7 linked regions of the Macaca mulatta genome follow. Each later gene encodes a partner of the first gene's protein in a complex. Links are inferred from orthologs where the notes say so. Each region holds a gene or a part of one and is shown in the gene's direction. Other genes may lie near its edges. The genes, in order: COA1, NDUFAF1, SURF1, CMC1, ACAD9, TMEM126B and TMEM186.

Region 1 (4,282 bases):
TATTAAGCTTGGTGTAAGGTATTATAATCTCAATCTCTTTCTTTGAAAATGTAAGAAGTCAATAGTCAATGTTGCATCAATGAATATTACTCAGTGGATGCCTATTTTATTTCTTCTTTTTCTCTAAGAACCATTTAAATAGTCCTTATGGTTCAAGTATCTCACAGTCTGATTAGTTTCTATTAATTCTTTGGAAAAGAAACATTCTGGGAACTCAGAATTGAACGGTAGGTTGCTTTGATAATGTTCTCATTTAGCTAGTGGATTCCAGAGTGATAGAATGTATGTTTGGCAACCTAATTGTGTAGGAAGAAAAGAACTTCTGTTAGCAGTTTTTTTAAAAAGTTTAAAAATTGTTTTTACCTCACTTAAAAAAAGTTTGATGTCTTGTGAAAGTTTTATAGCATGCATAATATATTAATGCCATACATGATACATGTAAATTTTTTTTTTTTTTTTTTTTGTGATAGGGATGTGTGATCAAGAGTTTAAAAATGCCTTAGTCCAAAGTTAATTAGTCTTGGAGTCATGGCTTCGCAGAGGAAAGATACTGGATTTCAAGCTTGACATTAAGATGATAATAGTGGGCCGGGCGCGGTGGCTCAAGCCTGTAATCCCAGCACTTTGGGAGGCCGAGACGGGTGGATCACGAGGTCAGGAGATCGAGACCATCCTGGCTAACACGGTGAAACCCCGTCTCCACTAAAAAATACAAAAAACTAGCCGGGCGAAGTGGCGGGCGCCTGTAGTCCCAGCTACTCGGGAGGCTGAGGCGGGAGAATGGCGTGAACCTGGGAGGCGGAGCTTGCAGTGAGCTGAGATCCGGCCACGGCACTCCAGCCTGGGCGACAGAGCAAGACTCCGTCTCAAAAAAAAAAAAAAAAAATAGCTAACATTCACTGAGCGCCTACAAAGTGCCAGACACTATTCTAAGCGCTTTACATCCTCATAACAAACTTATGAGGTAAATGCTATTATTATCCACCTGACTTCTGAAATTTTCTTACCCCGGTACTCCCTGGTGTTAACTGGGCACTCAATTTGTAGAATAAAATAAAATTTAGTGCTGCCAAATTTGTCAGCTGAACGGGGCGGCATGGATTTCAGTGCTGGAGTGGGGGTCAGACGGCCCGGGGCTTTGTGTCCTTAGAGGCCAGCGGAAGCGCCACATACCTGCGAGAAATAACGTGAGCCGGTGCTTAAATTTCCTGGGTTAGTGCTACTGGACTGAATGCATTTGCAATAACCGGACGCAGAAAAAAAAAAAAAAAGCGGGGACCAGGGGAGGCGAACCCCTTCCCAGCGCGAGTCCGAACGTCTGAGAAGCAGAAGCCACAAGTCCCGGCGACCTAAGTCCTGGATCCGCCGGCCCTAAGACCCGCGTTAGCATTTACAATCCGGTGTGAGCTGAAGCCTCCGGTTGCCCCGATTCGACGCTCTAGCCCTGCGAGCTGCAGACGCCGGAAGTCTCGACTGCTCCCCGCTGGCGCGCCGGACCGCGGTCATTTACCCGTGCTCCCCCCACGCCTGGAAGAACTGCTCACACTCTCCACAGCGTGGTGGTTCTGTTGCTCACAGGTTAGTCTCCTGCGGCAGTAAGAGTCTCCGTCTTCCCCCGCCAGCGAGAAGCGTTTGTTTCTGCAATCCGGGCGGCCGCCTTCGCGCGCGGGGTGCTCTGCTGCTTGGAGAGTTCCCTCACGGGTCACATCGCGGAGGTTCGCGCCGGCTCCGGGTCGCGACCTCCCTGCGCTGCTTCTTTGGCTCCTGGTAACCCGCGCTGGCTCCGTCCGCTCGGAGTTAGGAGACTGTGTCGAGCTAACGTTGACTTTGTCCTGCAGTTTTTGCTGGGCATCCCCAACAGCACACTGTAAAGAGTTGGGGTCCTCTCGAAGAGTTGGGACTGGGTACTTTTGTTGGTAGTACTAAATTTCAACACCTGGGGAGTACGCTGCCCACATTATTGTAGGAAAGAATTATCTGGTTTAGTGGTTATAATACTTTTTGTCCCCGCCACACTTGAATGACAGAAAAACCCTACCAACAGGAGCTGACTACAAAAGTGAGTTTCTGTGTAGGGGACATTGGATGTATGTATCAGTGCCTGTCAGTCTGTATGTGTGTTTGGGGTGGATGCTGTGTAATTTTTAAAAATCTATGGAGATTCTGATAATTTGATAACCTGTTTCTCCAGTCTTCCCCTAATTCCTTCCCATTTTCCCCTGGGGGAAATGGTGCCTCACTTTTGGATAGAAGTAGCAACTCTTCGCTTACACTTGCACGTTTAAAACATATCTGATTGTGTTATTTCTGTCCTCAGAATCTTCCTGGACTTCCCGTTGCCTTCAGGATAATACACATTTCTTAGCCTAACTTAAGGGGCCTTCGGGGTCTTGATTCTGCTGAATTTTTCAGTCTTTGCTACTTTCATGGAAAACACACCTGCAGGTACACTCATATTATGCTCCCACCATGCCAGTTTACAGTAATTTAATAACTTTAGATACGGCAAAGTTTCATATGGTTTACCCAAGTTTTTATTTTTGTTTTAACATTTAGCCAAAATCGATTGAATTCATAATATTGCTAGGCACTGTTTTAAAAAATGGGATAAAATGAAAACAAAACAAAACAAAACAGTCTTCAGTCCTTTAAAAAAATAAAACAACTTTCTGACACATAGTTCACCCACCATAGAATTCACCATTTAAAATGTAGCGGTGGCTCACGCCTGTAATCCCAGCACTTTGGGAGGCTGAGGTGGGCGGATCACGAGGTCAGGAGATCGAGACCATTCTGGCTAACACGGTGAAACCCCGTCTCCACTAAAAATACAAAAAATTAGCCGGGCGTGGTGGCTGGCGCCTGTAGTCTCAGCTACTCAGGAGGCTGAGGCAGGAGGATGGTATGAACCCGGGAGGCGGAGCTTGCGGTGAGCTGAGATCGCGCCGCTGCACTCCAGCCTGGGCGTCAGAGCTAGACTCCGTCTCAAAAAAAAAAAATAAAAAATAAAAAACAAAACCAAACCTAAAAGTAATTAGTACATTCACAAGGTTGTACAACCATCATCACAAAATATGCTGTAATCTTCTTCAACTTCATTAGTTGGTTTAATTTTATTAAGTCTATTTCAGACAGACTGCAGTAAGTTATTCTTGTATTCTTTTGTTCATGTTTAATGTGCTGCATTCAGTTTGTGAGAGCCATATTGGAACAATTTTCGAACATTTTCATCACTCCAAAAAGAAACCCTGTACTTATTCAGCAGGCTCACCTGACTTCCCCATCCCCACTCCCCATTCTAAGCCCTAAGCAACTATGAATTGACTGACTGTATATTTGACTGTTCTGGATTATTCATGTGAGTGAAATCATACAGCATGTGGTCTTTTTCAGCTGGCTTCTTTTACTTAACATTCATGTTCGTCTGTGTTGTATTTAATAGCATGTGTCAGTACTTCTTTAATTGCTGGTTAATCTTTTATTTTATAGGTATTACCACGATTTATTTTCCATTAGTTAGTGGACGTTTGGATTGTTTCCACCTTTTGGCTATTATGTATAATGCTGCTGTGAACATTCACCTACAGGTTTTTGTGTGGACATACCATGTTTTCATTTCTCTTGCATATGTGCCTAGGAGTGAAATGGCTGGGTCATATGGTATCTCTGTTTAACATTTTAAGAAACGGTCAGACTGTTTTCCAAAGCATCAGTGTGCATCTTTTTAACATTCTCACCAGTAGTGTATTAGGGTTTTGATTTCTCACTCCTTGCCAACACTTGTCATTATCTGTCTTTCTGATTCTGGCCATTCTAGTGGGTGTGAAGTGTGTGTCATCGTGTTTTCATTTTTTGTTTCGTTGACATGTAGTAATTGTACATATTTAGGGACTACAGAATGTTATTTTGATAAATGTATACAATGTGTAATGATCAAATCAGGTAATTAGCATGTCCATCACCTCAAACATTCATCTTTTCTTTGTGTTGCAACCATTAAAAATCTCCTAACTTTTTGAAAATATTGTGGTTTCAAATCGCGTTTCCCTGATGGCTAATGATGTTGAGCATCTTTTCAAGTGCTTATTGCCCATTTATGTATCTTCTTTGGAGAAATGTCTGCTCAGATCCTTTGCCCATTTTTAAATTAGGTTCTTTTTTGTAATTGAGTTGCAAGAGTTCTTTATATATTCTAGATACAAGTCATTTATCAGATATGTGACAGTCTTTTAGATTATGCTACCGTTCTTTTAGATGAAAAGCACATGAGATTAACTTTTAG
Region 2 (3,500 bases), on another chromosome or scaffold:
GTCAGCCTGTGGCTTTCTTTTTTTTTTTTGAAACGGAGTCTTGCTCTGTCACCCAGGCTGGAGTGCAGTGGCATGATCTTGGCTCACTGCAACTTCTGCTCTCCAGGTTCAAGTGATTCTCCTGCCTCAGCCTCCTGAGTAGCTGGGACTACTGGTGCATGCCACCATGCCTGGCTAATTTTTTGTATTTTTAGTACAGACAGGGTTTCACCATGTTGGCCAGGCTGGTCTTGAACTCCTGACCTCGGGTGATCCACGCCCCCCCCCGCTTGGCCTCCCAGAGTGCTGGGATTACAGGTGTGAGCCACTGTGCCTGGCCCAAATATTCATTTTGGAATAATGAAAATAGTAGATAACATTTATTAAGCGTGATGTGCCAGTCCTTGTGCTAAGCACTTTATATTATCCCATTTATTCCTCACAACAGTCTCCTGAGGTAAGATCATCCCAGGTTTATGGATGAGGAAACAGAGTTGGATAGATTTAGTAACTTGTCCAAAGTTACACGGATAATAAATATTAGTTTATATCTAGACTTTGGTGTTCTCGACATCAGAGTACCCTTGAGATTGCTGTAACTAAATGCCTTTGGAAATGAACTAAATTCCACTTTTGAAGAGAGAGGCAGTATAGATAGTTGTTAAGCACACAGATTTTGGAGTTAAACAGCATTGGATATACCACTTATTAGCTGAGTGCTTAGTTTGTTTATCTGTAAAACGGGGTAAGATGCTAATAACCTATCATAGCACTGTTGTGAGGATTAAATTATGCATGCAAATTATTTAATGCACATATTCAATGGATGCTAGCCACTGTTGTTAAATATCACTTTTAAAACTTAAGCTCTTTTCTCTATAGTTTTCTGACTTGTGGAAAGGCAGTTGTCATAAAATAGGCCACTCAGAAATCACCGCTCCTTGGCCGGGCGCGGTGGCTCATGCCTGTAATCCCAGCACTTTGGGAGGCCGAGGCGGGTGGATCACCTGAGGTCGGGAGTTCGAGACCAGCCTGACCAACATGGAGAAACCCCGTTTCTACTAAAAATACAAAAAATTAGCTGGGCATGGTGGTGCATGCCTGTAATTCCAGCTACTCGGGAGGCTGCGGCAGAATTACTTGAACTCGGGAGGCAGAGGTTGTGGTAAGCTGAGATCGTGCCATTGCACTCCAGCCTGGGTAACAAGAGCGAAACTTCGTCTCAAAAAAAGAAAAAGAGAAAAAAGTCATTGCTCCATAGGACCAGGTAAAGGAAATACATTCATTTCCATTCAGTGAACACAGGTGAGTGCCTACCCCATGTAAACACTGTCCTGGGCCAGTTGTGTGTTGAACATTACCTTAGAAACATATAACTAAGTCAGTATTTTGTGCTAAAATAATAATCACTGGGTTTATCTGCCTTCTTATGGGGCAGAAAGTCAGAAAAATGGTTAGTGAATCCTGTTGATGATGCTGACTTGGTGATGACTCACATTTTGCTGATAGTGGAGAAGGAGGTGCAATTAACTTTCCTTTCAATATCGTAGGGTGCTTTTGAGAGGAAGTTGTCTTATGATTGGTCGCAGTTCAATACTCTGTATCTCCGTGTACGTGGGGATGGTCGGCCTTGGATGGTGAATATCAAGGAGGACACAGATTTCCTCCAGAGGACGAATCAGATGTATAGTTACTTCATGTTCACCCGTGGTGGACCCTACTGGCAGGAGGTCAAGGTACAGCATAAGTCTTCATTGTTTAAAAAAATGAGGTCTTGGCCGGGCATGGTGGCTCACGCCTATAATCCTAGCAATTTAGGAGGCCCAGGCAGGTGGATCACCTGAGGTCGGGAGTTCGACATCAGCCTGACCAACATGGAGAAACCCTTTCTCTACTGAAAAAAATACAAAATTAGCTGGGCGTGGTGGCACGTGCCTGTAATCCCAGCTACTTGGGAGGCTGAGGCAGGAGAATTGCTTGAACCCGGGAGGCGGAGGTTTCGGTGAGCCAAGATTTTGCCATTGCACTCCAGCCTGGGCAACAAGAGCCAAACTCTGTCTCAAAAAAAAAAAAAAAAAAAAAAAAAAAGTTGGTGTCCTAGGCCAGGTGTGGTGGCTCATGTCTATAATCCCAGCACTTTGGGAGGCCAAGGTGGGTGATCATCTGAGATCAGGAGTTCGAGACCAGCCTGGCTAACATGGCAAAACCCTGTGTCTACTAAAAATACAAAAATTAGAGGCCAGGCGCCATGGCGCACGCCTGTAATCCCAGCACTTTGGGAGGACGAGGTGGGCAGATCACGAGCTCAAGAGATTGAGACCATCCTGGCCAACATGGTGAAACTCTGTCTCTACTAAAAATACAAAAATTAGTTGGGTATGGTGGCGCGCGCCTGTAGTCCCAGAACTCAGAAGGCTGAGGCAGGAGAATTGCTTGAACCTGGGAGGCAGAGGTTGCAGTGAGCCGAGATGGTGCCACTGCACTCCAGCCTAGCAACAGAGCGAGACTCCATCTCAAAAAAAAAAAAAAAAAAAAGGCCGGGCGTAGTGGCTCACGCCTGTAATCCTAGCACTTTTGGAGGCTGAGGCAGGCGGATCACGAGGTCAGGAGATCGAGACCATCCTGGCTAACCCAGTGAAACCCCGTCTGTACTAAAAAATACAAAAAACTAGCCGGGCGTGGTGGCAGGCGCCTGTAGTCCCAGCTGCTTGGGAGGCTGAGGCAGGAGAGTGAGGTAAACTCGGGAGGCAGAGCTTGCAGTGAGCTGAGATCTAGCCACTGCACTCCAGCCTGGGCGACAGAGCAAGAGTCCGTCTCAAAAAAAAAAAAAAAAATTAGTTGGGCATGGTGGCACATGCCTGTAATCCCAGCTAATAGAGGGGCTGAGGCAGGAGGATCGCTTGAACCTGGGAGGCGGAGCTTGCAGTGAGCTGAGTGAGATTGCGCCACTGCACTCCAGCCTGGGCAACAGAGTGAGACTCCGTCTCAAAAAAAAAAAAAAAAAAAAAAGGCCGGGTGCGGTGGCTCAAGCCTGTAATCCCAGCACTTTGGGAGGCCGAGATGGGCGGATCACGAGGTCAGGAGATCGAGACCATCCTGGCGAACACGGTGAAACCCCGTCTCTACTAAAAAATACAAAAAACTAGCCAGGCGAGGCGGCGGGCGCCTGTAGTCCCAGCTACTCGGGAGGCTGAGGCAGGAGAATGGCGTAAACCCGGGAGGCAGAGCTTGCAGTGAGCTGAGATCCGGCCACTGCACTCCAGCCCGGGCGACAGAGCCAGACTCCGTCTCAAAAAAAAAAAAAAAAAAAAAAAAAAAAAAAAATCTCACAAAGCCCCCATTTTGCTCATGTCGTATACTTGAGGGTCATCCTGAATTCTTCTCCTTCGCCCCACATCCAGTCTATTAGCGAGTCCCGTCACCTCTGCTTGCAAAATACACTCAGCAGCTGACCTTTCTAGCCATCTCTTCTACTCCCACCCTGGTCCAGGTGATTGGATTATTGCAGCAGCTTCATTATT
Region 3 (3,118 bases), on another chromosome or scaffold:
GACCTGGGGTGAGTAGGGTATGTGGGAGCTGGCTGTCCTGGCAGAGGCAGTCGGGGTATGCTAATTTACATCACTATTTCCTTCACAATCCCTAACCTTGGTAAGACCCTGAGGAACCCAAGGTACCCAGAAGATTCAATTCCTTGCATCGTTTAAGTCTCTAATTGTGACATTGACTTAACCTTCTCAGCTGGCTCATTTATGACTGGGTAATTTCTATATGTTGACCTCTGAAGGGAAAGGAGGGATTCGTGAAACAGGGGCCCCTCCTCTGGAGAACTCTCCAGTTGCCCACACATTAGATGATAGCGGACTATGAAGAGAGGCCAGTTGAGAGGAATTCAAGAGAAAGGACCTCAGCTCTACCTTGAGGGAGTGGAGGCAGGGATGGTTCCCTAGGGGGCGTTAAGAGATGGGAAGAACATTCCAGGCAAAGCAAATGATAGGTACAGGAGCACCTGTGTGATTAACTGGGGAACTGGAGGATTCACGTACAAAAGAAAATAACTGGGGCTCTTGTTAACCCATGGGTTCCTGTTTTAGGCCTGGGATAGGGCCCAAATGCTCATCTCCAGCAGGCTGGGGTGACAGGGTTGTTCCTCACGGCTGCCCTGGTTATGAGGGATTGGAGACAGCCATTGCCACAGTTCAGGGGAGAGGTGTGGGGTCTACTCTTGGATGGCAGTGTTGCTCACCAGTTGCACACTGGAGTGGGTAGACCACAAGATGCAGAGATAGAGGGGGAAAGCCGCATTTTTCAGGGAGGCTTTTACTGACCACGAAGGGGCCTCAAGAGAGGAAGACTGCCTGTGTGGCACTGCCAGGGCTCCCCTGAGCCAGTCCTGTTTTAAAAGCCTTCCTTGGTGCTCTAGTTGTTCCTATGGGTGCCTGAGTGACCGTGTTCATTCAAAAACCCTCCCCACCTGACATAGTCCTTTCATTACCCTAGAACCACCATCCTGGTTAATAGAGGGTTCGTTCCCAGGAAGAAAGTGAATCCTGAAACCCGGCAGAAAGGCCAGGTAAGGGACATGGACCCTTCCTACTTTAGAGAAGGCTCTGGGAGTCCGCCAGGCTCTGTGCAGTCTCACACCTTCCTTTATAGATTGAGGGAGAAGTGGACCTCATTGGGATGGTGAGGCTGACAGAAACCAGGCAACCTTTTGTCCCCGAGAACAATCCAGAAGGGAACCACTGGTATTACCGGGACCTGGAAGCTATGGCCAGAATCACAGGCGCAGAGCCCATCTTCATTGACGCCAACTTCCGTACGTTGTGACCAGCCCACCCCGGAATAAGTAGCTTTTGTCAATAACTGTCCTTCCTCCTAACTCTCATTGCCCAGTCACTGCCGTGGCTTATGTTCTCGCATGTGTGTATATGGAGGGGGGGCGGGCAGCAACTCAGCAAAGAGGAACCTCGGCAAGTACTGAGCAGACAAGGCTGGGGATGGTCACCCAAGGTAAAGGCCATACAGGACTTCCAACTGGCCACACAAAAATGACAACCACTAGGAAGTAGTGCAGAGGCTGGCAGGCAGCAGAGGGTGGACTTCAAGTCTGCTGTCTCTGCAGAGAGCACAGTCCCTGGAGGACCCATTGGAGGGCAAACCAGAGTTACTCTGAGGAACGAGCATCTGCAGTACATCGTGACCTGGTGAGTCCCCAGTGACCCTCTGGCTCCCTCCCCTTCAGCCCAGCAGCCTGCTAATGCCAGCTTTCTTTCAACCCCAAGGTATGGACTCTCTGCAGCTACATCATACCTGTGGTTTAAGAAATTCCTACGTGGGACACCTGGTGTGTGACAGATCAGCTGCTAAAGCCCTGTCCCTGAATAATGAAGTAAAAAGACTGCCTTTATGCTGGATCATGTGCTGCTGGTATAAAGTTCTGGCCTTCTACCTTAAATGAGCTCATGACTGGTTGATGATAAAATCCTGGCTTGGTTTCAGTCCAAAGAACTTTCCCAAAACTTGACACGCAAGGTACATCTCTAGGAAACAAAACGCCTGGTGTAAGAATATATAAGGGCAGGAAGGACCAGGTGTGGTGGCTCACTTGAAGTCAAGAGCTGAGACCAGCCTGGCTAACATGAATCAGCCAGCCACCTGGGATGCTGAGGCACCAGAATATCCTGAACCTGGGAGGCGAAGGTTGCTGTGAGATCACATCACTGCAACTCCAGCCTGGGCAACAGAGTGAGGCTATCTCAAAAAAAGGGTACTTCTTAGCCCCAAATAAGATTCAACCGAAGATACTCAACAGACGCTGGCTGAAGGAAAATTTGAATTTTAATTATTTTTATGTACAGAAAACTCAACAGTGTACATTTAACCCAGCTTAGTAGCAAGTTCTTTAGCCTTTGCCTTTTCGAGCTTGGCGATACGAGCCACAGACTTGGGACCCAGGACATTGCCGCCCCAGTGACGGCGGATCTGAAAAGACAGAAAGAGGCGGTCAGCTTGACTTGTTTTCTGATATTTTCAAGGTTATTAGTTGCGTTATTCTGTTGGACTGTTACAAGCTGATCGTCAGAACTTCTCGTAAGTTAAGCCAGCCAGTTATTTGGTAAAATGATTTGTGCATGACAATATTTTGTGTAAAGCTCTTACCTCATCGTATCTGTCGTTGTAATTGGTCCTGATAGCTTCCACCAGCTTAGCCAAAGCGCCTTTGTCTTCCCTAAAAGGCAGGAGGGAAAACAAAAGTGGGGCTTTTTTGGTCTTAGTTTCCCCTTTAGAACGCAGAAATATCTTCAGTTTTAGCTCAAGACAATCTTTTGCCTCAGATACAATGTTGACCACATGGTTTATTCAGGTGAAGAAATTCTTAACCATCACTGGCAAAAGTTCAAATACATTTTTTTTTTTTGAGACAGAGTCTCGCTCTGTCGCCCAGGCTGGAGTACAGTGGCTCAATCTCGGCTCACTGCAAGCTCCGCCTCCAGGGTTCATGCCATTCTCCTGCCTCAGCAGCTGGGACTACAGGTGCCCGCCACCACGCCTGGCTAATTTTTTTTGTATTTTTTAGTAGAGATGGGGTTTCACCATGTTAGGATGGTCTCAATCTCCTGACTTCGTGATCCACCCACCTCGGCCTCCCAAAGTGCTGGGATTACA
Region 4 (4,024 bases), on another chromosome or scaffold:
ATTTACAAAACATACAAGGAAAAGGACCTGATTCCCCGGCTGGGTGAGTGAAACGTTAATTCTTCACCTTGGCACCTCAACCTACAGCTGTAATAAGGGCCGTTATGCCCAAATAGGCCCTTAAACGGAAGACCTGCTAAGCAGAGACCCACTTTCCCAGCCCCGCTCAACTGCCTCAGCTTTTCTGCCAACTGACCAGGCGGAAGCAGCAGCAGGGGAGGAGGGACTGCAGGTAGGTGGGGAGGGGATCATTTTGAAAGCCCTAAATCCCTTGCAGGGAAGAAGCAGCTGCTCCTTGTTTTTCTAAACATCTGTCCCATCTGTCCCAGGCCACACCTCACCCTTTGGTGGCTCGAGCCAGTTAAACGTGAATTTGACAAGAAAGCCCTTCTGAAGGCTGGTTTGTGAGTGGAAATGAACCTAAGTGCCACCTAGAAAGTTTCTTCTACTGACAAGACGTTAGTAGGGGGTCTTCAGCGGGACGGCTATTACCTTCCTTCATTTTATTCTCACAAAACACAGCTTTTACTGATAGAGGCGGGATTTGTAACGTCACCCAAATCAGACTGTACGCCCTGGGGATATTATTTCACAACATGAGGTACTTCTAGAGCCCACATTTTAACCCCTAGGAGAGCCACAGCCTAATTGGAAGGAGAAATAACGATATTGCACACACCATACCGCCTTTACGGTAGAACAAGCTGTGCACATCTAGTGCCTGTGGCGTTTATCACATTTTTCAGCGTGTGGCTTTTATTTGTCTCCTCTGCCACACTGCTCCTTGAGAACAGGGACGTTATTTTTATTGTTATTTTCCCCTCGTATTCAGAACCGTGGCTGGAACTTGGTAGGCATGAAATAGATATTTATGAATGAATGAACGTTAACGAAGAAAAGAAAAGGAACTGAATGATTCATTTGGTTCTCCGAAGGCGGGTGTGAGGGGCGGGGCTCGGACTTTGACCCAGTTACCGAGTGAGGCGCAGTCCCAAAGTCCTGCAGGTCCGGCTCCAGTCACCGCAGACCCGGGTCTACAACCGGTGCTCAGGCCTCCCGAAGCGAGCCTGCGCGCGTCCTGCACGGTCCCGCCCCGAAGGAGCGCAGCCACGCCCCCTTCTCTGGTCATTCCCTCTGCGAAGTCAGTTCCACTCTAGTTACAGGATTGGGGCGGGGCCGGCAGAGCGCAGGCGCAACGGGCGGCGGAAGTAGGAACCTGGGAAGGAAGAGAGAACGGGGCCTGGCTGTGCTATGCCAAGGGCCCACGTTTCTGTTGTGGGAAGCTCCAGGAGGTCGCACGTGCGTCCGAGCCCAAGCCCCTCCCCTCCACTCCCCTCCCCGCTTGCCCCGGAGCCGCCAAACGGCCGGCTTCTTCTCGGCCCGCCGAGATGGCGCTCGACCCCGCAGGTACCCGGGCGGGAAACGGGGTTTGCCGAGGGGCTTTGCCCTGGGTCTCACTCCGCGGGCCGTGCGGGCTGGAGACCGACCTGGGAAAGGTGCAGAGCTTTGGGTGGCATTGCTTCCACCAGCGTCTCCTCACGCTCGGCGTCTGCTTCACCCAGTCTTAGGTCATCTTCTCACTTGTTGGGGGTTATGGTTAGCTGAGGTTGCTTTTGTTGTCTAAACTCTCATGCATTGTGGTTTCTTACTTAACGCGACTCGTCTCTTCATTGTCACCCTCTTTTCGCCCCTTAAGGGCACAGACTCATTTAATGTATGGTGCAGACACTCTGGCCCCAGAAAAATTTTTATATTTGTTCTGGCGCACAGTTTTACATTTCTGTTTGGGAGTTCATGGACCCCGAGTTCATCCTTGTAACCCAACTTAAAAACACATTTCAAAGGATCCATCACTATGGCAAGAGTCAGTTTCTTTGGGAAGGATCTTCAAAGTCTTGAATGTTGTTTTAATCTCCTTGCTTCCAACCACTTCCGTTTGCAGCAATAGTTTACGTCCCCTCGAATTCCCGTCCTTGTGAAAGGTGACCTGCAGTATCTTTGCTTTAGGCTATTCTTGCAAGGGAATAGATAACCAACAGGAGGGAATGGTAATTGGTCTAGTCCATTTCTTTCATTTTCTGGATACAAAAAGTCAAAACATTGAGAGGTGAAATGGCGTCAAACTTGGGAGATTCAGAAATGGGAAATGCTCTTTCGGAGACTTCAAGGAGCATGAAAAATATATGTAGCACAGAAATAATGTTTTAATTGAACACGTTATTACCATGCTAAGTGTTCTCTGTTATCCAACAGTATGTGATATGGTAGGTTCCTTTAGCTCCATTTTACAGATTAGGAAACCGAGGCGAAGAGAAGTTAAGTGACTAGTCCAGCAGGTAGTGGTAGATCAGGGAATACTCTAATTTGAAGCATAGAGGAGTTTTGGAACACAATGATCATGTTCATTTTGGACTAGGTGATTATGAAACAGCAGTTGATCTGGGCTTTGAGGGATGGAATTTCCAGTGTTTGGAACTGGAGAAGAGCAGCTCCATGAGCAAAGGTTTAGATAATAAAGTGCACTGTGCGATGCTTGGTTTCAGGATGACTACTATGATTTCGTTCTTGAAGGTAGAAGGGGTAGGGTGTAAGTGAGGGGTGAGTAAGGAAGGTTCAGGTTTAGTCCCATATAATTTATGGCATTTATTTTTTTATTTTTTTATTTTTTTTATTTTAGTGGGACGGAGTCTCACTCTGTAGCCCAGGCTGGAGTGCAGTGGCTCGATCTCGTCTCACTGCAACCTCCGCCTGCTGGGTTCAAGCAATTCTCCCACCACAGCCTCCCGAGTAGCTGGGATTACAGGCACCCGCCACCACGCCCGGCTAATTTTTGTATTTTTAGTAGAAATGGGGTTTTGCCATGATGGCCAGGCTGGCCTGGAACTCCTGACCTCAAGTGATCCGCCTGCCTCGGCCTCCCAAAGTGCTGGGATAATAGGTGTGAGGCACCACACCCAGCCTAATTATGGTATTTCTGAACTTGAAGTGACATATAAAGTCATCTCATATAGATGAGGAGATTGAGACTGAGAGAGGTTAAAGATTTCCATATATCTATAATTTTTGAATTTAGACAAGGAAATTTGGGAGAAAAATCTTCATACTTGCTGTCTTCACTTGCTTACCTTCCAGTTACTCATAAGCCACTCCAATCTTGTGTTGTACCCAAGGCTGCACAGCTAGTTGCTGGTTGAATCAAGTCTGGTTAGAACCTAGGTAATTTCATTTCCAGTCCAGCGCTGTAGACCATGCCACCTTTTGAGTATTGATTAAACAAAGACTTGTTGAGTGTCTGGTATATGGCCCGTATTGTTCTGGGCCCTAGGGAACAGTAGTATATAGGACAAACAAAATCCCTGCTTCAATAAAGCTTATCTAGTGGTAGAAAAAGACAATTAACACCCCCTTCTCCTTCTACACAGACACGTGCGTGGGCACACACACACACACACACATTTTTACAGATTGTGATAAACATGAAGAAAATAATGTCATGTGGTAGATGGTGAAGAGATTAGTCAGTGAAGAGCTTTATGAAGAAGTGTCATTTGAATTGGAATCTGAGGGATGAGAGGAAGCTAGGCAAAGTGTGCTAGGCCATCAAGTAGCAAATATTTAACTTGAATGTGGGTCAGAGTGTGGAGGGGATCCATAAGGAAATATACTAGGAAAGTGGGTGGTAGCTAAATGCCTAGATATTGCAGAGGCTGCAAGGCCTCAAAGGCTGGCTGTGATAATAAAACATTTGGATTATTTCTAATGTCATCAAACGCCTTTAGAATCTTTTAAAGAGGGCAGTAACATAATTTGTGTGTTTATTACCCTGACTACAGTGGTAGCATGCATTGTAGAGGGGTCAGGTAATAAGTGGCAGAAGGGAGACAGGTTAAGAGATGGGAGCAGTAGTCCAGGCCAAATATGTTTGTATCTTAGCCAAAGATGGTAATAGAAAGATGGACAGAAATATACAGCATCATGAGGAGAAATTGACAGGACCTGCTGTTGCATTGAATAAGGATGGTGA
Region 5 (3,981 bases), on another chromosome or scaffold:
GGGGAGACTGATTTGGCTATTAAAACTCCCTCTCCAGCACAGCTGGCTCTGCGTGAATTACTCTTTCTTATTGCCATTCCCCTGTCTTGATAAATCAGCTATCTAGTCAGCGGGCAAGTGAACGCCTTGGGCGGCTACAGCCTGGCCTGTCCCATCCCATCCAATAGTTCCCATCTCTTCTCAGCTCCCTCTGTAGTTTCTCTTCCTCCACCTGCCTTTTCAGTGTTTCCCAAGACAGAGGTGACTCAGTTTTTTTTTTTTTTTTTTTTTTTTGAGACGGAGTCTCGCTCTGTCCCCAAGGCTGGAGTGCAGTGGCGCGATCTCGGCTCACTGCAAGCTCCGCCTCCCGGGTTCACGCCATTCTCCTGCCTCAGTCTCCCGAGTAACTGGGACTACAGGAGCCCGCCACCGCGCCCGGCTACTTTTTTGTATTTTTAGTAGAGACGGGGTTTCACCGTGGTCTCGATCTCCTGACCCTGTGATCCGCCCGCCTCGGCCTCCCAAAGTGCCGGGATTACAGGCGTGAGCCACCGCGCCCGGCCGTGACTCAGTTTTATCCAGACCGCTCTGTGACTGAACACCCATTTTCTTTTCCTCTTCCAGAAAATATTTGTCAACTAGGTACAAAACAGTATCTCAGGAATTCACCATCCAGTTAAAAATGGGACCTTATCCTTACCGTGCCCCTGCAGAGACCCCAATACCGCGCATTTCCCCCATTCTTTTGCTTTCCTCAAGTTTTACCACAGCCTCGCGGCCGCAAGTGACAAAAGAGGCAAGGGGAAGCAGCTGGGCCGGCCTTTAGGTTTCTGTACACAGGGAGATTTCCCATGGCTAGCATTTATGGAAACAACTGCTGGTATGTGAAAAATAGGTCCCTCACAGCCGTCACGACGGCCGGAGCTCATACCCGCCAACATGCCCGCGGCCCCGACCCTCCAATTTTCTCCGCCCAGCAACTCTGGCCGCGCAAGCACAGTGGGACCGGAGGGAAGCGTGGGCACGTGACGTCATCAGGCAGCGCGGACCAGCCAGGTGCACATGACTAACGGCCTTGGCCGCGGAAGGTGGCAGCCGGCAAGCCCTTCTGGCCTCTCCATCCCCTGTTGCGGTAGACCGCGCAAGCGCAGTGAGTACTGCACAGCGTCGCGGGCCAGTAACGTCATCCGACGTTGCGGACCATGTGTGTGTCCCTGCTGCGCCAAGTAAGAAGTGGAGCCTGAGGCCGGGGAACAGCGGGCGGCATGAGCTGGTGCAGGCTCTTCCTGCGTACCACGGCTGCGGCTCGTGCCTGCCGGGGTCTGGTGGTCTCTACCGCGAACCGGCGGCTACTGCGCACCAGCCCGCCTATACGAGCTTTCGCCAAAGAGCTTTTCCTGGGCAAAATCAAGAAGGTAACGCGAGCCCTGGGCGAATCCTTGCTGTCTGGCTCCCGCTTTTCATCCTCAGCTGCAAGATTGGTGTTCAGCTTTGTCGGATTCCCCAAACCTGCCAGAGAGACACACCCTGCGGGCGAGGCGTGTTAACACTCTGGATTCCTGAGTTCCAGGAAAACCTTCCTAGAGAAAGGGTGGGACATTTCCTAGACGGAGGACCCTTGGAAGTGTAAATTTTGTCAGAATTTGGAAAACTCTAGGCTAGGTAATTTACAAAGCAGCCTTCATCTCAGCTGGTCTGGTCTGGAAATGTGCGGGGCTTCCTCTCTTATTCCTAAACAGTTTAGACCGTGTCCCTCCTCAGTCACCTTCCAGCGCCCTGGGGCTTCCTTCCCCAGTTGAGCCGTAGCGCCTCTCCCAGCCATTGAGGTTCCTCAGAAATCTGGCTCCAAGATGCTTCCCGGGCGTCGCACAACCCTGCCAGTAGTAACAGTTTGGTTATAAAACACTCATTGTCCTCTTAGAGTTGGAAGACTTGGGTTTGGTCTTGGCTCGTTGACTTTGAAACTCAGTTCTTTTTTTTGAGACAGAGTCTCGCTCTTGTCGCCCAGGCTGGAGTGCTCACTACAACCTCCGCCTCCTGGGTTCAAGCGATTTTCCTGCCTCAGCCTCCGGAGTAGCTGGGATTACAGGCGCCCGCCACCATGCCCGGTTTTTTTTTTTTTTTTTTTTTTTTTTTTGTATTTTTAGCAGAGATGGAGTTTCACCATGTTGGCAAAGCTGGTCTCGAACTCCTGATCTCAGGTGGTCCACCCGCCTCGGCTTTCCAAAGTACTAGGATTACAGGCGTGAGCCACCACTCCCGGCCGAGACTCAGTTCTTTCAGCCTTAAAATGGAAATAGTGTTGTGTCTCCTTCACAGAGGTGTTGTAGAGCCCCAGTGAGATAAATGGTGCATGGAGAATCGTCTTAAACTGTAGAGTACTGTGCAGCAGAAGAGAGAACTGGCTTCAACACTAGTCTTATGACCTTGGAGCTGATGGTTTCACCTCCCTGTGCCTCAGTGCCTTCATCTACAAAATAGGAATAAACACATTTCTTGCTTTTTCCTTTGTGTTTTATTTTATCTTCTAAGGAAAGCAACAGTATACTTGCTATTTCCTCGAGGTGCCCTGCTTTGAGCTTGGCTGAATGTTGGCTGATCCTCTATCACGGAAGTTATTCCCTGGCTTCTCTTTGGAACATTCCTCTGAGGTTGTCAGGCTGATCCCTTTATAGCAAGCAACCTTATTGATGCGGAAGCTAAGACTCAGACTAAAAGCAGTTTGCCCGGCTAGAAGGTGCAGAGCTATGTCTTTGACATATGGGAAACCCTTTTACCCAGGACCTGGGGCAGTGTGGTGCTCTATCCTGGGACCTCCTGCTTTCCAGCAGCATGGTGAAGAAAGAACACAAATCCTTCAGATCTGTTTCCATCATAAACCTTTGGCACCACCTGCCCTGCCCTTACTCTCAGCTGTCAGCTTTGCTTCCCATTCCACTGAGAAAATCCATGCAGTCAGATGAGAACTTCACAGGCATAGTTACCCCCTCCCCCTGCATGTGCCCATATTATCTACATTCTGTTACTATGACTGAACTGTCTGCTTCTGGCAAAACCAACCTCTCATTAGACCCCAGGCCTTCTCACCTACTCAAGGGTAATTCTTTCCTTTCTCGGAATCATTAACTGTTCTCTCTACTGGATTTTGAGACCTTACCATTCAGACGTTTGTCCCTAATGGCCATGGAAGTCAGTAGTGACCTCTCTGTTGTCAAATCGTGTGATCTGTTCTCAGACCTCATCCTACTTGGCCCATCATTGGCATCTGACGCTGTTCGTTCTTCTACCCTGTTGACACACTTTCTTCTCTAGTTTCTGAATCACTATTCTCATCGTTCTCTGAATGTTCTAAATACTTCACTGACTGATACTTCTCTGTGTCAATTGCTAGTTCTTTTTTAGCTCCTTTACTGCTAAACAATGACCAGTGTTTCCAACTAGCCAAGTTGGAATTTACTAAGGCTGGGTCTGTGGATGTCTTTTCATCTACAACCATCTCCTGGGTGACCTTATTTAGTGTCCTGGCTTTAAATATCATCAATATCCTGATGCCTCAAATTTCTTTTTCCAGTTCAGATTTCTCCCTGAGCTCCAGATTCCTTTTGCTTTTTCAGAGTTGGGGCCTTCCTCTGTCACCCGGGCTGGAGTGCAGTGGTACCATCATAGCTCACTGCAACCTTGAACTCCTAGGCTCAAGAGATCCTCCCACCTCAGCATCCCCAGTAGCTGGGACTAGGCACGCCCTGCCACACCCAGCCAAGGTCCTTTTTTAAATCTACCTTTGTACTCAAAAGCTCTGCTAAGAGGTTTAACAGGCGTTTGAGATTAATAGATCCAAAACTGAGTTCCTGGTTCCCACCCAATCCTGGTCCTTCCACCAGCCTTCTTTTATCATAGATAATGGTGGCTCTGTTGTTCCACCTGTTCAGACAGAACACCTGGCGTCACCTTGTACTCTTATTCTCCTAGTTCACGTCTAATTCCACAGAAGATCTGGTTTTC
Region 6 (4,116 bases), on another chromosome or scaffold:
TCCAAGCCCCCAGGCTTGATCCTTAATGCACCTCTGATTCTGATCCTCCCATGTATTAACAGAGAGGATTGAAAAAAAAGGAAAGCAATCCCTTGGCATGGAGACATTAAAGTGACAGTGCTACTCAATGGGCACTTGATGCAGGATGAGTTGGCGAAGCAGATTTCTTCACACTGGAGTCATTCACATCATGCCATCTCTTCGCATCCAAGCAGCTCCCTATCCGGCGAGGAAAAACACTGAGACTTCGAGAGAAGCCAAACCTTCCCCCAAAGGTGTTTTCAGAGACGCCGTAGTAGTATTAGACATGTAAGCATAAGCTATGCAAACGGTCCGCGATTTCCTCAAAATGAAAAAGTGCAGCTGCTTGGCTTTCACATCCACATCCTTTTCTCTCAATCTCTCTTCAAACTACCCACCTTCCTTTTGCAGAAAAGACAAGACATTTCTCTGCCACCGCTGGCCACCCCTGCCCAAGCCCCGTTCTTTTAGGGAAGAGCACTGAAATGTCCTGCACCCTCCACGCGATGAAGTGTTTCTTCAGGCAGGAGCAACAGCAGCACTAGAAATTATATAACTCTCGAATTTGGCTTCTCTAAGACATGGAGACTGGAGGGTCGGGGGTTGCCGGTCTGGGAGATACTGCTGGGCATTTAACGTGCACAAAACAGCGCCAGGCCTTGCAGTGCCCCCCACCCTGAGACACGACTGACAAGTGGGTCTTCTCGGGGGGTAGTGGGCAAATTTCTCTCCTGTCTCCTTCCAAGCGGGGCTAAAGGATGGAAATTGAGGGGACTACAGACTGGGGAGAGGAGTCAGACGGCTGAGAGGGGAGGAGGCTAGTCGGGGCTGCTCTGACGGCGCTGGGCGGCTGGTTGGGGGTTTGGAGGAGGAGGTGCCCGAGAAACAGAGCTTTAACACCACACGGGCCAGGGCAAAGGGGCGAGTTCCCTCAAGGACTGAAAGGGGCAGGCAGCTAGTTCCCAGCTACCAGAGGTGCCCTGAGGAGAGGCAGGAGCGCAGTAACATTCCAGCATTTGGGCCGCCCCATCCTCTCCGCAAGACGCGAGGAAAACAGGGAGCTAAACTGACAAATAGCAAGGGAAGGAAATACTCTGCTGGCGATGGGGGCGGACCCACAGGCACCTGGACCTCCTCTAAGCGAATAAGTGGCCCTAATTTCTAGACACCGCGCCCAATCACAGACAGGATGGAGGGCGCGGCTTTTGACTGAGGGGGGCGGGCCCGGGCTGCAAGCGAGAGGCATGAGCCGTAAACCCGCCCCACTTCCCGCCCACCAGCAAATCACGTGAGCCATCAAAATGGCGGTGTTCGGGTATGAGGCTGGGGCCAAGCTGAGGGATTCAGGTGTGGTGCCGGTGGTAACTGAGGAAGCGCCCAAGGTAGGCGGAAATCCGAAGTGGTATGGGGGGTGATTTCTGCAGCTTCAGAGTGTTGGCAGAGTCTTCCAAGATGATACACTTAAAGGAGATTTGAAAAGTTAAAACAGCCCCCAAGTCCATGCAAGGAGCAGTCGATTAAGTCTCCAGCTGTTGTGGAAAGAGGCGGAGAGAACGTAGATTACCTAAGTTCTAGTACTCATTATCTGCGGTTTGTTTTCTCTTGTCTCCAGGCCTTTGCACAGGCTTTTTCTTCAACTTGGAATATTTCCCTGCTTCTATCCGTCCCAACTCCCCTGCCAAATTGTTCTCTTTAGGATATTGGTTTAAATGTCACTTCCTCCGGGAAGCCTTCCCACGCCTCCTCTGGCTAGATTAAGTTTGCCTTTTCTTAGGTTGTTGGGTTTTTCGTTTATGTCACTCTCTCATTCTGTGTTTAAATTGCCAGCATTTTTGTTCTGAACTCCCACTACATTGTGGATTCCTGAGGATGGGATGACTGTATCTTGATTACTCGGAGGCCTGGCATATACCAGGTGCTCCCTAAATTATGAGAGAATACTGAATAAAATTCTAAAGTTGAAATTTATTATTAGGTGAAAAATGTATTATTAGGTGAAATAATACACATGAAAGCACTACAAAACCGTTAAATGATTTGCAAACTATAATCCACTCTTACTGGTATAAGCGTGGTGACTAGTTGAGTGGCCTTAAGAGGGGAGGGGTGTAATGAAAGCAGTCGATTCTTTGACAGTGCCTTGCAAAGCTTAAGCACTCAATAATATTTCCTGTGTTCTTTTCAGTATTTGCTATCCTGTAATCATAATCCTGGGTGTCTGCTTTCCCTATAGAGAGTTTAGGGTGTAGACTAGGTAGGAGATTAGTAGAAGATATTGCCTGGAAGTTTATTTTGTTTTTTGTTTTTGGTGGAAGGTGGAGGACTTCAGTGAATTGGATGAGAGCAAAACAAAAATTTATGTAAGGTTTATGGTTACTCATGTTATTGACATCTGCCATCTTAGTACAATAGATGGGTTAGGTATAGAATCTCCCTTAGATGTTACTATCCCTTATACTTTCCATTTGGGTGTCCAGGAGAGGAAAAAGATGTAAGTCTAGTCACTGAAAAATTGTAATTTGTAAAATATTTTACTTTTTTTTCCCCCTGCCCTCTCCAGAAATGTTACAGAAAAAGATTGAGTACAATTCTGCGATGATGCAGAGAAAGAAATTGGTCCATTATTACTCATTGTGTAATGCCATAAGAAGGTTCAAAGAAGCTCATAACTTACGTATGTTGATGCCAGGAGCCGTGTATAATCAACTGGCCCTTCTATAGTTAGGATTGGTACATACCGCTCATTCAGCAAATGAGTATTACGGTAATATTCAATATGTGTCCATTGACTACAGCATCAAAAGCACTCGGTGCTATTAAAATGCAGATTCTAGGCCTCATCCTACTCCTGCTGAATCCAGATATCTCAGGAGGGAGTTCATGAGACTGCATTTCAAATAAATACCCCATGTGATTCTTGTGCATGCTGAAGGTTGAGAACCACTGATTTATGAAGTATTTTGTGTATTCATTATGCTTTATCCCCTCTAATCCTCTTGTCTAGGACTCCTTAACCTTGAGATTTAGTATTTGCCTTCAATATAAACGTTAAAATTGAGATTAGTGTACATTTGTAAAGAGGCTATTTGGCTAATCTGGAGGAAAAAAAGTAAAAAGCAGTGAATTTAGCGGCAATAGACTTTCCACTTGGCTGCTGTAGTAGGTAAACATTTGCAACTACATGTTTGGATTTAACAAATGTTATTAAGACTTTTCACAGAAACTCTAGAGTCTTGCCCAGAGCAAAACATTCAGAAAGGATCCTGTCTGAGAGTGCAGGGTTTGTTTTCTTGTTGTTGTTGATTTGTTTTGTTTTTTAATCTCTCTAGTTTCTGTTAAGATGCTACTGGCCAAGTCTTCATGGTCCCTTGACATTGGCAGCTGTCTGTTCATCACACTTGGGACACAAGAACCTTCCAACCAAGGAGCCCAGTGCTGTGGGTCTCTGGGGCCCGGCGCGGTGGCTCACGCCTTTAATCCCAGCACTTTGGGAGGCCGAGGCAGGCAGATCACTTGAAGTCAGGAGTTCGAGACCAGCCTGGCTAACATAGTGAAACCCCGTCTCTAGTAAAAATACAAAAATTAGCCAGGTGTGGTGGCAGGTGTGGGTCTCTGCTATACTACATAATCATTTCTAGCAAAGGCTCTGCTTCCACCACAGGTGGTAATAGGGAACTGGTTATGTAATTTATGTACTTCAAAGTAGTAGCCACAATCTACTGCCTGTTCCCTTCCTGAAGCAGTGTCCCTCTTTCTGATTTTTCTCTCTCACTGTTCTCCAAGGCAATCCCTGCTCTCTCCTACCTCTCTAGGAAATGAAACACGATTTCCAAAATGAACTCAGTCTTTCATGAGAAACTGAGGATAGAGATGTCAATAAGCAGCCATTGTTTCCACCTCCCCACCTGAAGAGCTAGGAGGACAACTACAAAGGGCCTGACTGCCTTCTCAGAATGAGGAGAGAGGAAAACAGAAACAGTATCAGTATGTTATCCCTCTAAACTAAATCTTAAGCAAGCCAACCTTTCAGACCCTCAGTTTCTCATCTGTATAGAGATAATCATTATACTACCAATTTCTCAAGTTAGTGTGTGA
Region 7 (4,132 bases), on another chromosome or scaffold:
GAGTTGAGTGTCATCACTAGGTAGATCAAACCTGTGGCTGACAAGGGCAAAATGATACGTCTAAGGTCACACGCATTTCACGTGGCTTTCTGGAGCACACCATTGTTACCACCAAGCGAAGACTACGAGGGGTGAGGATATTAGTTGAGGATAGTGAGACCATTGGGGTCCACTCTCAAGTTGAAATGGCCGGTTGTCAGTGGCCAATTTCTGAAAAGGGGACAGGAAAGCCTCATCTCAAGGCTGATAGTGACTGAAACTTATCTGTGCCTGTAGCAGCAAAATCTGGAAGTGGAAAGCAAGTTTCGAAAGGCCCAAAGAGGCTCTCAGCGGGCAGCCTGTAATAACCTAGGGCTCCTCCATCTTCCTAGTCCACTGCAGGGGCTGGAGATGGGTGTGGTGGAGGTGGTTACTATTTACTGAGGCCTAGTGTGCTGTGTGCAACATACTTTCAAGAACTTACACAATCTCATTTGATCCTCACAGTCACCATATGGAACACGTAATATCCCCATTTAAAGCTGTAGATGCTGAGGCTCAGAAAGGTTAATGACTTGCTCAAGGTCACACAGCTGTGAAGAGGTGAAGATGAGACTCCACTAGGTCGATTTCACCTGGAAACCTGTTTTTAATATAATGACTCACGGCACAGCCCATTGGTTACAGGATTGAGGCCGGCAAACAGCTGATAAGGGGCACACAGCTGATGTCGGGTTCAAATCCTGGTCCATCGGTCCCGAGGACTAGCGGTGAGTCCAGATTGCATTTTCCAACCAAGCATAAGTTTCCTTCTCTTAAGAGTTCTTCAGCCCCGTCTCATCTTTCCAAGCATCAGAGCTCTTGAAGAGCTGGTTAGGGCCTCCCTCTCATCCCTCCAGGGCACCTAGAATAGGGTCCAGCCCCCGTGAGGACGCAGGCGGTCCTTAGCCAGCCCTTGGCGCCGACCCTGGGTAGTCGATAGCTCCAACTGGGAACAGCACGGACTCTGAGTCGGCTGCCACCAGCCCGCCGGGCGCCACTTACCTGCCGCGGGGCGGTGAGGGTCCCATCCACGTCGAAGAGGCAGAGCGCTGGGCCAGGAGCTGCCATGTCCCCAGCGTCTAACCGCACCTCGCAAGACTCATTGGCATCAGGAACTCGGCCCGGAACTTCCGAGTTCGGCCCCCGAGCCGCAGGGCACGTCGGGAAGAGGAGGAGACTCCGTTCCCACAACGCCTGGGACTAGCGCCAGCCACGATTCCTGGACCGCAAATCCCAGGGTGCAACGCGGATCACGCCCGCCTTGTACATTCGAGCATGCGCTCTTAGAGGTTCCGGGGGCCGGTGGGACTTACTTCCGGCAGCAGGCTGTGGAGCCATGGTAAGGAGGCTGGTGGCGATCCTTGAGGGGGTGATGCTCTTTGGGGGTCGGTCGGGGTCAGAGCTGGGGCAGGCAGGCACGACGCCTGAGTTTCGGACCTGAAGAATCCGTGGGAGGAAGCTCTGGCGTGGGTTACCATTCGCCATTCCCGGGCTTTCTCTGCCCTCCTTGCGTCACGTGCTCACAGTAGTAATAGCTAAAACTCGCCGAGCTCTCACAGCGCATCAGGTACTAAGTTGAGGGCTTTGAAACCATCTTCTCGTTCACTGTGTTCTGAGTCCCCATTTTGAAAGCCGAAGAAACCGAAGCTCAGGGGTGTGGAGTGATTTGCTCAAGAATCCACAGGTAGTGACTGATGGAGCCAGAATTGGAACCAGAGCTTTTACTGCTTCACTACCCACCTAATAATATGTTTGTGCTACGTGTAGGGGCCTCCCTGCCTCGCTCCTCCTCCTCCTCGTTGTTTCCCCTTCCCCTGACTAGGTTAAGGGAAAGCAGCAGTTCCCTCCAGCACCCAAGATAACGTAAACAGAATTAGAAAGTTTGTTGGGATAACTATCTCACAGATTTGTTGCTTGAGTTCCCCACTAAGACATTGATTATTCAGTTTCCTGCTTGGGGAAATGTTCACACCCCCTTGTGGATCCATTGTCCAGCCCAGAGTTGGGACTCCCTAGATATGTTTTGAATTATTGATGGCCGCACCTCCTTTCTTGTATTTCTTTGGAATTGCCTGATGGAAGGAGGACTCTGCTGCACTCACTGACTGTGTGTTCTTTGGTAAATATCTTACCCTCTCTGGGCTTAGTTTCCCTAGTGGTAAAGTGGAAATAGTGATAACTATCTTAGATAGCTGTTGTGATGCCCACATGAGATAACATCTGGCTTTACCCTTCCCTCCTCTGGCAATAATGGTGACCTTGCAGGATTGGCAGAAGCCTTGGAGTATGGTGCTTTGCAGATGTTCACCGTGTGATTAATGTGGTTGAATTCCATGAGAGAAATCGTCTACTGTCTCCCTTTCAGGCTGCCCTTCTCCGAGTTGTGCCTAGATTTCGGGGAAAAGCTGCGTGGGAAAGGCCTCTCCATGGGTTGTGGTGCTGCAGTGGGCAGGAGGATCCTAAGAGGTGGGTGGGGAGCAGGTCACCCACCTCGAAGGAGAAACCACCAAACCAAGAGACTGAGAAATTCTGGATGTTTTACCGTTTTGATGCCATCAGAATCTTTGGGTTCCTGTCTCGACTGAAGTTGGCACAGACTGCCCTGACAGTGGTAGTTTTGCCACCAGCCTGTTACTGGTATTCCCAGGGCCTCCTGACTCTCAACACCGTGTGCCTGATGAGTGGGATATCGGGCTTTGCCCTGACCATGCTGTGCTGGATGAGCTATTTCTTTCGGAGACTGGTTGGTATCCTGTATCTGAATGAGTCTGGCACCATGCTGCGGGTGGCCCATCTGAGCTTCTGGGGCTGGCGGCAGGACACATACTGTCCCCTGGCAGATGTGATTCCCCTGACAGAAACCAAGGACCAGCCTCAGGAGATGTTCATGCGTATCCAGCGGTACAGCGGGAAACAGACCTTCTACGTCACCCTGCGCTATGGACACATCCTGGACAGAGAGCGTTTCACGCAGGTGTTTGGGAGACATCAGATGTTCAAGTAAACAACTGGGGCCTGGACCTCTGGGTAACCCTGGGTCACCTGGATTGACAGGAAGGCTGAGGGTGTGGGCACAGCTGAAGAAAGGGGATTGGGTACTTGGAGACTTTGCCTGGGCCCCTGGGAACATGTGTTTTGTGATGAAGAAATTCACAAGGCAAGAGCTGGTGTCCAGGTTTAGGAAAAAGGCTCTAAGCAAGTTCTTACAGCACTCGTGTGTGACATTCAGTCAGATAACGGCCAGAAGTTTTTGTTAAGAGCCAGTTCTTAGAAGAACCTATGCCAGGGTCACCCAGACAGTCCATTGGTGTGAAATTGAAAGGCAAAGAGGTGTGGTGGGGGAGCATAGGATTTGGAGTCAGAAGTCTCAGTTCTGTCACTTGTCCTGGGGTGGGTTATTGAGTCTCTTTGAACCTTGGTTTTCACATCTGTAAAATGGAAAGCCCTGCTTGTTTCGTGGGATGGATGTGGGAATAAATGTCAAACGTGTGGCAGACTCAGCAGCCTAGAGCAGATAGCATTAAGCATTTGGTCAGAGGTTTTGGCATGGAGAAAGGCTTCGAGCAGTCAGCAGGGACTTCCAGAGCCCTGTGCTGTGCCCCTCACACATCCAGCAGCAGAAAGGTCTGCCAGGATGTTAACTACACATCGATGAGCAGCGATGTCGTCCAAGTGAGCACGAAACCCCATTTGAGATTTGTTCACCACGCTGAGATCTAGAGGCTCTTGCTTTGGATGGCCCTGCAGTGTAATAAAGCCTAATGGACCGTATGCTGGTACGTTCTTTTATAAACTAAAGCCAGTTATATGCATTGCCCTGCATAATTAATAATACATGTTCATTATGCAATTTGTAACACAGTAAAGAGGAAGGAAGGCATGATCTTTATTATTTTGCCACTCGAAAGTCAATAAGAATGTTTTATTGCCGGGCGCGGTGGCTCACACCTGTAATCCCAGCACTTTGGGAGGCTGAGGCGGGTGGATCACGAGGTCAGGAGATCGAGACCATCCTGGCTAATGGTGAAACCCCGTCTCCACTAAAAAATACAAAAAAAAATTAGCCGAGTGTAGTGGCAGGCACCTGTAGTCCCAGCTACTCGGGAGGCTG

What was found.
Region 2: COA1 (region 1) and NDUFAF1 share a complex: the UniProt entries of both Homo sapiens proteins name them as parts of the mitochondrial complex. The link is inferred for Macaca mulatta from reciprocal best matches to the Homo sapiens genes COA1 and NDUFAF1.
Region 3: COA1 (region 1) and SURF1 share a complex: the UniProt entries of both Homo sapiens proteins name them as parts of the MITRAC (mitochondrial translation regulation assembly intermediate of cytochrome c oxidase complex) complex. The link is inferred for Macaca mulatta from reciprocal best matches to the Homo sapiens genes COA1 and SURF1.
Region 4: COA1 (region 1) and CMC1 share a complex: the UniProt entries of both Homo sapiens proteins name them as parts of the MITRAC (mitochondrial translation regulation assembly intermediate of cytochrome c oxidase complex) complex. The link is inferred for Macaca mulatta from reciprocal best matches to the Homo sapiens genes COA1 and CMC1.
Region 5: COA1 (region 1) and ACAD9 share a complex: the UniProt entries of both Homo sapiens proteins name them as parts of the mitochondrial complex. The link is inferred for Macaca mulatta from reciprocal best matches to the Homo sapiens genes COA1 and ACAD9.
Region 6: COA1 (region 1) and TMEM126B share a complex: the UniProt entries of both Homo sapiens proteins name them as parts of the mitochondrial complex. The link is inferred for Macaca mulatta from reciprocal best matches to the Homo sapiens genes COA1 and TMEM126B.
Region 7: COA1 (region 1) and TMEM186 share a complex: the UniProt entries of both Homo sapiens proteins name them as parts of the mitochondrial complex. The link is inferred for Macaca mulatta from reciprocal best matches to the Homo sapiens genes COA1 and TMEM186.

The regions. Positions count from the first base shown.
Region 1 is NC_133408.1:84,623,426-84,627,707, forward strand, and holds the start of COA1 (cytochrome c oxidase assembly factor 1 homolog), read left to right. Parts: upstream 1-1,482; 5' UTR 1,483-1,578; exon of another isoform or gene 1,579-2,059; intron 2,060-4,282. UniProt on the Homo sapiens protein: Component of the MITRAC (mitochondrial translation regulation assembly intermediate of cytochrome c oxidase complex) complex, that regulates cytochrome c oxidase assembly.
Region 2 is NC_133412.1:18,739,133-18,742,632, reverse strand, and holds part of NDUFAF1 (complex I intermediate-associated protein 30, mitochondrial), read left to right. Parts: intron 1-1,529; coding exon 1,530-1,715; intron 1,716-3,500. UniProt on the Homo sapiens protein: As part of the MCIA complex, involved in the assembly of the mitochondrial complex I.
Region 3 is NC_133420.1:9,172,817-9,175,934, forward strand, and holds the end of SURF1 (surfeit locus protein 1), read left to right. Parts: coding exon 1-8; intron 9-949; coding exon 950-1,022; intron 1,023-1,105; coding exon 1,106-1,268; intron 1,269-1,574; coding exon 1,575-1,656; intron 1,657-1,734; coding exon 1,735-1,804; 3' UTR 1,805-2,329; coding exon of another isoform or gene 2,330-2,434; 3' UTR 2,435-2,611; downstream 2,612-3,118. Other genes in the region: RPL7A (large ribosomal subunit protein eL8), read right to left, coding at 2,330-2,434, 2,612-2,681. UniProt on the Homo sapiens protein: Component of the MITRAC (mitochondrial translation regulation assembly intermediate of cytochrome c oxidase complex) complex, that regulates cytochrome c oxidase assembly.
Region 4 is NC_133407.1:20,311,549-20,315,572, reverse strand, and holds the start of CMC1 (COX assembly mitochondrial protein homolog), read left to right. Parts: upstream 1-1,224; 5' UTR 1,225-1,388; coding exon 1,389-1,407; intron 1,408-4,024. UniProt on the Homo sapiens protein: Component of the MITRAC (mitochondrial translation regulation assembly intermediate of cytochrome c oxidase complex) complex, that regulates cytochrome c oxidase assembly.
Region 5 is NC_133407.1:155,085,261-155,089,241, reverse strand, and holds the start of ACAD9 (complex I assembly factor ACAD9, mitochondrial), read left to right. Parts: upstream 1-1,181; 5' UTR 1,182-1,244; coding exon 1,245-1,394; exon of another isoform or gene 1,395-1,570; intron 1,571-3,981. UniProt on the Homo sapiens protein: As part of the MCIA complex, primarily participates in the assembly of the mitochondrial complex I and therefore plays a role in oxidative phosphorylation.
Region 6 is NC_133419.1:86,220,570-86,224,685, forward strand, and holds the start of TMEM126B (complex I assembly factor TMEM126B, mitochondrial), read left to right. Parts: upstream 1-1,316; 5' UTR 1,317-1,322; coding exon 1,323-1,403; intron 1,404-4,116. UniProt on the Homo sapiens protein: As part of the MCIA complex, involved in the assembly of the mitochondrial complex I. Participates in constructing the membrane arm of complex I.
Region 7 is NC_133425.1:10,021,461-10,025,592, reverse strand, and holds TMEM186 (transmembrane protein 186), read left to right. Parts: upstream 1-1,332; 5' UTR 1,333-1,357; coding exon 1,358-1,360; intron 1,361-2,386; coding exon 2,387-3,025; 3' UTR 3,026-3,792; downstream 3,793-4,132. Other genes in the region: PMM2 (phosphomannomutase 2), read right to left, coding at 1,024-1,089. UniProt on the Homo sapiens protein: As part of the MCIA complex, required for efficient assembly of the mitochondrial complex I.